2 linked regions of the Arabidopsis thaliana genome follow. The protein of the gene in region 2 interacts with the protein of the main gene of each other region in a biochemical or structural test. Each region holds a gene or a part of one and is shown on either strand. Other genes may lie near its edges.

What was found. The genes of interacting proteins can lie anywhere in the genome.
Region 1: the proteins of ARF1 (region 2) and AGD7 form a complex in vitro, tested with the Arabidopsis thaliana proteins (one study listed by BioGRID).

Annotation. Positions count from the first base shown.
Region 1 is NC_003071.7:15,754,540-15,759,449, forward strand, and holds AGD7 (ARF-GAP domain 7), read right to left. Parts: upstream 3,063-4,910; 5' UTR 2,918-3,062; coding exon 2,132-2,917; intron 2,024-2,131; coding exon 1,946-2,023; intron 1,512-1,945; coding exon 1,005-1,511; 3' UTR 1,003-1,004; intron 922-1,002; 3' UTR 539-921; downstream 1-538. UniProt on the Arabidopsis thaliana protein: GTPase-activating protein (GAP) for ADP ribosylation factor (ARF). Involved in protein trafficking by controlling ARF1 activity; may participate in COPI vesicle formation at the Golgi complex.
Region 2 is NC_003070.9:8,334,740-8,339,352, reverse strand, and holds ARF1 (ADP-ribosylation factor 1), read right to left. Parts: upstream 2,761-4,613; 5' UTR 2,548-2,760; intron 2,136-2,547; 5' UTR 2,122-2,135; coding exon 1,974-2,121; intron 1,845-1,973; coding exon 1,774-1,844; intron 1,621-1,773; coding exon 1,501-1,620; intron 1,414-1,500; coding exon 1,295-1,413; intron 1,162-1,294; coding exon 1,080-1,161; intron 986-1,079; coding exon 980-985; 3' UTR 526-979; downstream 1-525. Other genes in the region: CSLA03 (cellulose synthase-like A3), read right to left, coding at 3,123-3,285, 3,371-3,565, 3,652-3,965, 4,050-4,297, 4,381-4,613. UniProt on the Arabidopsis thaliana protein: GTP-binding protein involved in protein trafficking; may modulate vesicle budding and uncoating within the Golgi apparatus.

The sequences.
Region 1 (4,910 bases), on a different chromosome or scaffold from region 2:
TGGTTCAGGATGTCGGATTATTGAATGGAAGTGTGAACTGGTCCGGTTTGAACGATAGAACATAAAACGTGACAGAGACATGCTCTCTCTGTCATCCTTCATTGACCAACTTCTCTTCGTTATAATTAAAATTTTAAAATACAAACATGAAATGAGACGTGAAATGAAATTATGACATGCATTCATTAACCAATTTGCATCGTATACGTTAAGCAAGCTTAGCCTTCCTTAAGTTTCAAACTTTCAACATTCCAAAGAGACATTGCTTGGTATATCGAGATTTAGTTAGTGTGAAGTCATAGTATTTCTTCCATAATGTTTCATCTCCGCTTAACACCGCCATTTTCGGACATAACACCTCTATTTATCTACTTCTTTTCCTCAAGGTACTGAAGAAATTTATGTATGAAATAAGCTGAGAAAAACGTTATAACCCATTTTCTTTTTGACGTACTGAAAATTCATTCTGAATATGTAAATCCGTAATCCGATCAGATCCCGGTAAACTAGAAATTCAGTGAAGTAAGAAACGATAGCAACCCGACCAAAAGTAGTATGCGAATGAGAAAGAAGACAATAAAACGGAAAATTTGTCTTTTGTGATCATTACAAATTTCAAGAAAAATAAAAGTTTGAATCTCAAAAAAAGAGCTGAAGACTAACCCGAATAGTTTAGCAAGCAATCCTCTGTGACTGTGAAACTTGTACAAATAAAAAAAAAAACTATATATATTGTAGAAGAACAAATAGTGACGATCGATTTGATTGAACGCCAAGCAATTGATATGTGAAAAGAAAGACCAGTGGTGGCTTAATGGTTGAGATGACCACTCTGCTCTCTCTTGTGACAGAGCACGAGAAGACCACAGGCTCTGCTATTCCTTAATTGTACAAACTTCATTCACCATTATCCTGTAACACCTGCGATTTAGGGAATAGTGTTTTGTGGTGATTATATAGACGTTTACATATTCGATTCGTTTAACTTGATTTGGTGCTTACCGTTAGAGAAAACCTCCACCGGTCCAAGCAGTGTCTGATTTCCCATTGTGACCTACAGATTTCTTATCGCTTGCAGGCTGATAATAGAAATCATCATCTTTAGCATCATTATCATCCCAACCAGCCCAACCGCCGTCGTCATCATCATTAGAAGTCGACACCTTTGGTGCTGCTTCCTTTTTGCTATTGTTCTCTTCTCCCCAGTCATCCCAAGAATTCGAGTTACGATAACTGTTGTTGTGACCACTTGATGATGATTGTGATCCTCCAAAAGATGAATTTGCTGTTTTGTTTCCAATCCCAGAGTTCTGGTAGTAACCGTTGCCCTCAGTTTTATTCTGTTGATTCCAAGTTGATGCTTCTTCTTTAGTGAACTCTTCAACCTTTTGTGAGGCAATTGCCATCACTCCTTTCATGATCCCCCATGTCCTCTGTCCTATCTCTGTTGTCTTACTCGCAACAACATTAACAGTCTCACTGACCGTCTGATCTAAGCCACCTTCTTTGACCTGCACAATGAACAAAGGTTTCTTATCTCACTTGTCTTCAAAATTCTATAATTTCTAATGTTAGCAGTATTTGAAAAGAAGGACGAGCATCCGGCATTATGCTCAGTTCAGCGTTTTAGAGGATCTCCCTAGAGATTTTGCAGGGGCATAAAGACAAAAAAAAAAAAAAAGAGCTTTAACACTGCAATTAAAGTAAGAAGATTATGCAGCTAGAAAAGACTCTAATTTTGTGTTACATAACAATGTCAAAAATGGGATAATCTAACAAACAGAGCAATGAGCATAGCGGCAATTAGACAGACACCAAGCGAATAGTCACGATCTCAATATAAACTTAACAACTAGACTACAGAATGTTACCAAGGAGTGAGCTTACTGATCACGATGCAAACGAATCAACCACAACATCGAAGCAGAAATGATAAAAGAAGTACCTTGGAAGTAAACTCCATGGTTCCAGTCTGAACAACATTTGCAGCTGATGCAGCAACAAGAGACAATCTTCCAAAACCCTATAAGCATATACGCGTAAAACAAACACATTCATTTACAGGATAAACAGAGAAGTCACTCGCATGTCGCATCTAACCAAATCACTCTCAAAAAGCTTCCAAATTTACCTCAGACATAACAGAGAAAACATCACCACCACCACTCTGTTGATTGCTTCTCGGAGCTGGACCTGGACTAGATCCAAACCCAACATACTTACCACCTTGTGAAGGAGGAAGTCCCTCAGGCTTAGACTCATTCTCAGCCATCCTTTTCGCAAAGAAACTCTCCTTATTCGCCGCCGACGCCTCCAGCTGAGACCGTGAATATATATCCTCAGACGATTTCGACTTCGCCGGAGCACCACGACCTCCCGATGACCTAAAATCACCCGCCGATTGATTCCTCCTCATATCCGTAGATCTAAACGAATCATCGTTATCCCAATTATCCCATCCACCATTACCAGAATCTCTACCACCGCCTTGAGACAACGGAGGCTTCTTATTCATCAATCCACCACCAACCGATTCCTTAACAATCGGCGGATCTCTCCATTGTCTTCCCTCAGCTAAAGCTTGGATCCGATCTCGATACACAGACGCGGCGTTGGAATTGTACTTGGAGATGATATCAGTCTCTTTCGAGATCCCGTACTGAGCGAGAAAATTGTTGAGACGCTCGTTGCCTCCAGCGTCCATTTTCTTGATCTGGATCTCGGACCATGAATCCATGGTGACGGATCTGACGAATGAGATGTGAACACCTAAACCACGGTGCTTACCGGAGCATTCCAAGCACATGAAGATTCCATATGAAATCGATGCCCATTGTGGATTCTTCTGGGAGCAATCGACACAGACCTTGTTCTCCGGCTGAGATTGGAGCGTCCGTAATCGTCTCGCCGCTGCCATTATATTGCCGGCTCTCCGATCTGACCCCTGACTAGATCTGATCCAGGTTCCAGATTCTGATGCGTTTTTTTTGGCTCAATCGTTTTGCTTAATAAACGTGGTAACTTGAATAATTTTGTGCGTGTTTTTGTCACGTGAGAGCTTCACTCAATATTTCCAAGGTCTCTGCTAAAAACGTGTTTGCTCAAAAAGCATGGGCTTTGGTCGCTTCGATATCGGGCCGGGTCTGGAAGGAACAACCAAAAAAACTAAAACTACTCTCGTTTTCTTCTTCCGCTCAACCCTAACTTGTGGAAGTCAGTTTAAAGTCCAGGTGAGCATTAAGACACCAAATGTCCTTGCTGTGAATATGAACGGGAGAACAACTGATGGGGGTCTGAAGAAGGAATTAACTGAAGTGATGAAGCAGGGACAGATTCTGAGTGTCAAGGTTTGTTTCTTGTTCATTGATTGTTATGCATTGCACTGTTTTAAACCATAAGTCTTTGATGATATTCTTTTATTTTTCACTAATAAGCAGATAAAAAAAGATTGGTACTGGAATTGTCCAACAGGTGAACCTAATGTAGAGTCTTATTAACATAACTAAAGGCCAAAAAGCGGCAGAACACTTCATGAAGCATGGACTTGAGGAATTGTTCAGCTTCACATTATTCCGGTCCACGTGTCTGGTACGGTAGAGTAGCCAAATCCCAGCAAAGTCACAGTTACCAGAATTTACTCTTTCATTCTGAATTGTTGTATCTTTTTCTTTCTTTTCTTTTGAACTCAAATCCTTGTTATCTCCCTGTTGACTATCTTTTTAGAACAATAATGCTCATTAGAAGCTTTTCAACTCTAGTTATATATTATTTTCCAATGCACAAATTATAACATTTGATTCATTCATTCAAACAATTAGAACATTTCATACAAATCCCTAACAACAGCTGAGAAATCTCAACTCCCCCAATTAACAAATCTCAATAGGCCATAGCCGTCACAGTCTTTCTGTCACAGCCATGTGATTTTGTGAACATCACATATAGACCGTTGGATCTGTTGTCATCCGTATCATCACATCGGAACCGTTTAATTTTTATGATTGTGAAACGACGACGTAAAGTTGTTAACCGGGAAAGACGAAGAAAAACGCGCGGGAAAATTGAGAGACTGCATCTTAATCATCGTAGGGATTCTCTATTTTTTGGAATCTGATTCATATGTTTGGGGTTTAATAGTCTCAGCTCAAATAAATCTAGGTTAAACTGTGTGGATCGATTCATATATTCTCCGTCAAAACCAAAACCAAACCGATTTGTCATAATTTTTTCTTATCATCCACTTTCATTGGCTAGAGGGACATTGTAACGGTGTCGTCGTCGCCAAACGATTTGCCTCTTCCTAAAGGTATGTTCTTTCATTTCTCTCAGTGCCCCTTTGCGTATTTCAGCTTCTTCTTTACGATCTAATTCATTTCTATGTTTCGTTTGATTCTTTGTTCAATTCTGAATTGAGAAAATGGCGATTCGAGATCTATCTTTTCGGTTTTTCATGTAAGAATATAATCTAGCTTTGGTGTTTGTATTGGTTTACTTGTGGGAAGAAAAGTCTTTCTCTTTGGGACTTTAAACTTTAATTACTTAACTCCAACATCATCATAGTTGGGTTCTGTTTGCGAGATTCATTCTGTTTAGTTCAGTTCTCTTATAGCAGCAATAACATATTGATTGATGGCATCAATCTTGTGATGGAACCATGGGAATTCAGAGTTCAGGGAGGATTGATTAATTAGAATCTCATATTTATGAGAGAATAAGAGAACTGATGTGTGTTTCTTTTCCTATGTATGTTGTGCACTTTCCTATTTCTATAAGCTCTTCAGGATAACAACAGTTGATTGGGTCTGAATTACCGTGTGTTAAAGTGTGTTTTCGGAATTACCGTAATTCCCCTTCTGTGTAGCTTTTGGCGATTGGGTCTGATCCAATTCTTACCAGCTTCATACCATTGT
Region 2 (4,613 bases):
ACAAATTTCCTAATTCACCAAAATTCACCAAAATCATCTCAAAACTTATTAAAACTCCAATCACTCTAAATTCCTTCTTCAATAAACTCAAATCTTCTGTTTCTGTTTCTGTTTCTTTTATTTTCCTTAATTGCTTATCAAATACTGTATTTAATATCGTCCTTGCAACTATCACTCTAGTCAAAATGATGATTAACGTTCCCTTAATGGCTGGCAGAATAAGAAAGTAAATCAGTGACCTTTAAACACATTAATTTTGAACAGTAATCCGCAAAATAGTTCCAACCGTACAATTGTACTATTCATATATACTCTTAGAATCACAATTTATACATTTCATTAACCTACAATTCTACAAAAATATTATAAAGAAAAACAGATAATTTATGTTATTCCATGGTTGTTAAGATAATTATTAGTTTTAGTGTGCTTATTCTAGACAAATTAAGAACGCAATATTCTGACAAAAATGAATGTGGTGTTCAAAAAGTGCGAGAATTTGGAAATATTAAAGGGATTAGAGGATGCCAGCAAAGAATTTTGAATGTTAACTTTTTTTTCAAACAAGTGGATTTATGATTAAATTGTCTACTCATTCCTCTTCTGCCACACTCTAGCATTTCGCCTACTGGTCATGGCTTTCCTCTACTTGATTCATATGACAAATACTAGCAAAATCATCAAGTTTCGTGTAGCAGGTGCCAACGAAACCGCATTCCAACATATGAATCAAAGTGCACAAGTAAAATGTGACCAAAACCACGAAAGCAGTAGGTGAAATCTTCGATTACAGTTTTACCAAAACTATATAAAAGGTAGTTTTTTTCTAAGTTCTACGTACAATCACAAAATCCATCGACATATCCCAAAAAAAAAAGCAGAACAATAACGAAAACGGAAACCAAAAAAAAAATTCAGATAATGTTTGCCCCTGCATCCAGATTTGCTCAGCAAATCAACTCCACCACGAACTTTCCCTCTACGCCTGCACAACCAGTAACAAGAACACAGAAACAAGAATCACGATTTGCTTCAAAATACTGATCCACAAATCAAAATTGTTGTTTGTGATAATTTACCTTGCCGGCAATGTTGTTGGACAACCAGTCAAGACCTTCGTAAAGCCCCTCGCCTGAAGTGGCACATGTGCTCTGGATGTACCTGGAGAGAGTTCGTAGACATAAAATCAATCAGAGAGGTGATAAATCTTTGGAACTATATCATAAGAAACGTTATGTGCAGGAGAACAAATCAACATGAGGGAAGCAGGGGAGATTATAATGTTTTTATTTACCAGTGACGCTGACGGAGAGAGTGGAGACCAAGCTTATCCGTGATCTCAGCTGCATTCATAGCATTTGGGAGATCCTGCTTGTTAGCAAATACGAGCAGAACAGCATCACGCAGCTCGTCCTGTAAAACCCCGACAAACAGTTTACTGAATCATCTAAACATGAAGAATTCAATACAACAGGCAAAGATATAACACTTGATACAGACCTCATTCAACATTCGGTGCAATTCATCTCTAGCCTCAACAACACGGTCTCTGTCATTGCTGTCCACCACAAAGATAAGACCTTGGGTGTTCTGGAAGTAATGCCTCCACAAGGGACGGATCTGACAACAAGAAGTGGAGGTTTTGCGACATGTGAGTTTGTGTAATTCTATGTTCATCAACAATAATACCAAGACACAGTAGGAAAAAGATCCCCAGGTAGTGATGCAAAAAAAAAAGAATTCTTAATGCTTTAGAGTTGGATAATCTTATACCTTATCCTGACCGCCGACATCCCACACTGTGAAACTGATGTTCTTGTACTCCACAGTCTCCACATTGAACCCTGTCCACAGTTTGTAGTAGTTTAATCATCACGGCAGGTGGAAGACAAAATTTTGTATGAATGGTATGAACAAAGTTGATGGAACTAAGCTTTTGAAACACTGAATTATGAAATGATGTTTAAGCTTACCAATAGTGGGAATGGTGGTTACAATCTCTCCGAGCTTGAGCTTGTACAAAATGGTGGTCTTACCAGCAGCATCAAGACCAACCATCAGAATTCTCATCTCCTTCTTGGCAAAAAGCCTGCTAAAAAGCTTGGCGAATGACAATCCCATCCTGCTTCACTTAACTAACACACAGAAACAGAGTATCAATATCACATAAAGAGAGATCACCAGCGAGAACTCCAAATGTTGACTATAAATCATTAGAATAACGCAGATCGAAACAGATGCAACAACGTTTACAAAACCTCATCGTATAGATCTTGCGGAATTCAGAATCTAATTGAAGCAATTACAACGAGAAAAAGGTGAAATCGAAGATAATGTTCATAGATCCAGACTTGAAACGATGCAGCAGCAGATCGAAATCAGAATTTTCAACCAAAAACATCGAAATCCAAAGCATTACCCAAAGATACAACGGATCATCATAAGAAAAATCCTAAATCGAAGCAAGAATATTCAATTCCCAACCTAAGAACACACTGAAACAATCAAAATTGAGAATGCCTTAGCTCAGATCTAGATCAATAATACCTCTGCGTGAAAGTTTCGGAGCTATCTGAGAGAGAGAGAGAGATCGCGAGAGACGAACAGAATTTGAAAGAGAGAGCTTCAAAACAACGCTAAATGCGCGACGCCGTAATTGCAAAAACGGAAGAAGATCTTTATAGAGGCAAAGGATAAAAACGTCAATTCACATAAATTATCACCGGTAATACCTAGAATACCCCTCGACGAATGTTTTCGTGGAGGGGCCTTGTGCTTACGCGGTTTACATGCGTGATGGGTCATTGGCCGTGGATTGCATCTAACCAATCCAAAACCGCCATGTCATTTTCAACATCTTAAATCATTGACGTTGACTTGTTTTTTTTGTATGTTTCTCTCAATTTTCTTTCTAGAACACAATTGGCAAATACAAATTCATAAAATGTTACGTATGAATATGATCGATAACCAAATTTTAAGATCATAACACCATTTAAAAAATTACATTTTGAGTATGAATATTGGAAGAGTTAACTTGGTTTAAGTAACCAAGATCCAATCTCTAATTTGGTCTAATCAAATAGCAAAAACACATTTGCTCTCAAATACAAAAGTCTAATCTAAACAGTTGGAACAAATGTGCCAATATAACCAACTCCAGCAACAAAAAATGCACAAGACTGTAAAAACAGATAAACATAAAAGTATGATCCTCCATATGCGAAATCGTAACATCCGCAGAAGAATATATATAATCCAACAACGAGTTCTCTCCAGTTGAGTCTGCAAAATGTTAACTAAAATTAGTTACAACATTTCAAAATGCTTAAAAATTGTAATTGTGTGTGTGTTTTTAAGTTAAGAGTACCTTTGTCCAAATCTGGTATAAAGCTTAGTTGTAGCTTTACCTATTAACTTAGACTTGAGAGTGTCACCTAATTTTTCAGTAACAACCCATTCGTTAACCCGTCCTGCCTCTAGTAACCCGATGAATGTCGCTTTTGTGCGATGCATCGACATTACATTCTCGAATAAGATCCAAAAGACAAGAAGATGGAGTGATCTGCAGTAGACAATATATGTCAAACTTTTTATCATACTAGGAAATGAGAAAACAGAGTTTTACTTGAACAGTAGAGATGTTGTTACCGAGGTGTAGCGATTGCGTTAAGGATAGTGATTGTAGTAGGAAAATAAACAGTTGCCCATTTAGGAACTTGGAGCTCAGGGAATAGCACAGTTGTTGGTAATATCAGACAGTAGAAGACAAATGTGAAGATGTGTACTACAATCTTCCTTATGAAGAAGAAATTGTATATGAGATACAATTTCTTCCAGGCCGACACTTTCTTGTTCTGTAAGATTTCCATTGTCATCTTCCTCCATAGATTAGCTGGTCCACAAGACCATCTATGTTGCTGAAACCTGTATGCTTTGAATGTACTTGGCAATTCATTTTTCACCTGAAATGTTAGATTACTTAATAATGTCTTGAATGAAATCTTGTTATGTTTTGCTTGAGTTTAAAAGGGTTATAGTAGTAGTACCTCGACGTCATGGACATAGACAAATTTCCAACCATGAAGACAAGCTCTTACTGCTAAATCCATATCTTCTACGGTTGTTCGATCTTTCCATCCTCCAGCTTCGTTTAAAGCTGCGATTCTCCATACACCCGCGGTTCCATTGAATCCAAAGAAAGCATGTATTGAAGATCCAGATTCTTGCTCAGCCACAAAATGGTAGTTTAGTGACATCTCTTGCATTCTTGTCATTAAGCACTCGTTTGCATTCACTACATGTAACACATTCTCTCCATTAGCCAATTTGACTTAACAAAATAATAACTATTATTTTTCAAAAAAGATATGACTTTACCAAACTTCCAACGGCATTGAACAAGAGAGATTTCATGGTTGTGAATAAGAAAAGGAATGGTTCGTTCAAGAAAGTCAGGATCAGGCTGAAAATCAGCATCGAAAATGGCGACGAATTCGCATTGTTTCACATAGTTGTGCATCATTCCTGCCTTTAATGCTCCTGCTTTGTATCCAATTCTGTTGTCTCTAATCTCTGACATTATGTTTATACCTTTCCTCGCCCATTTATCA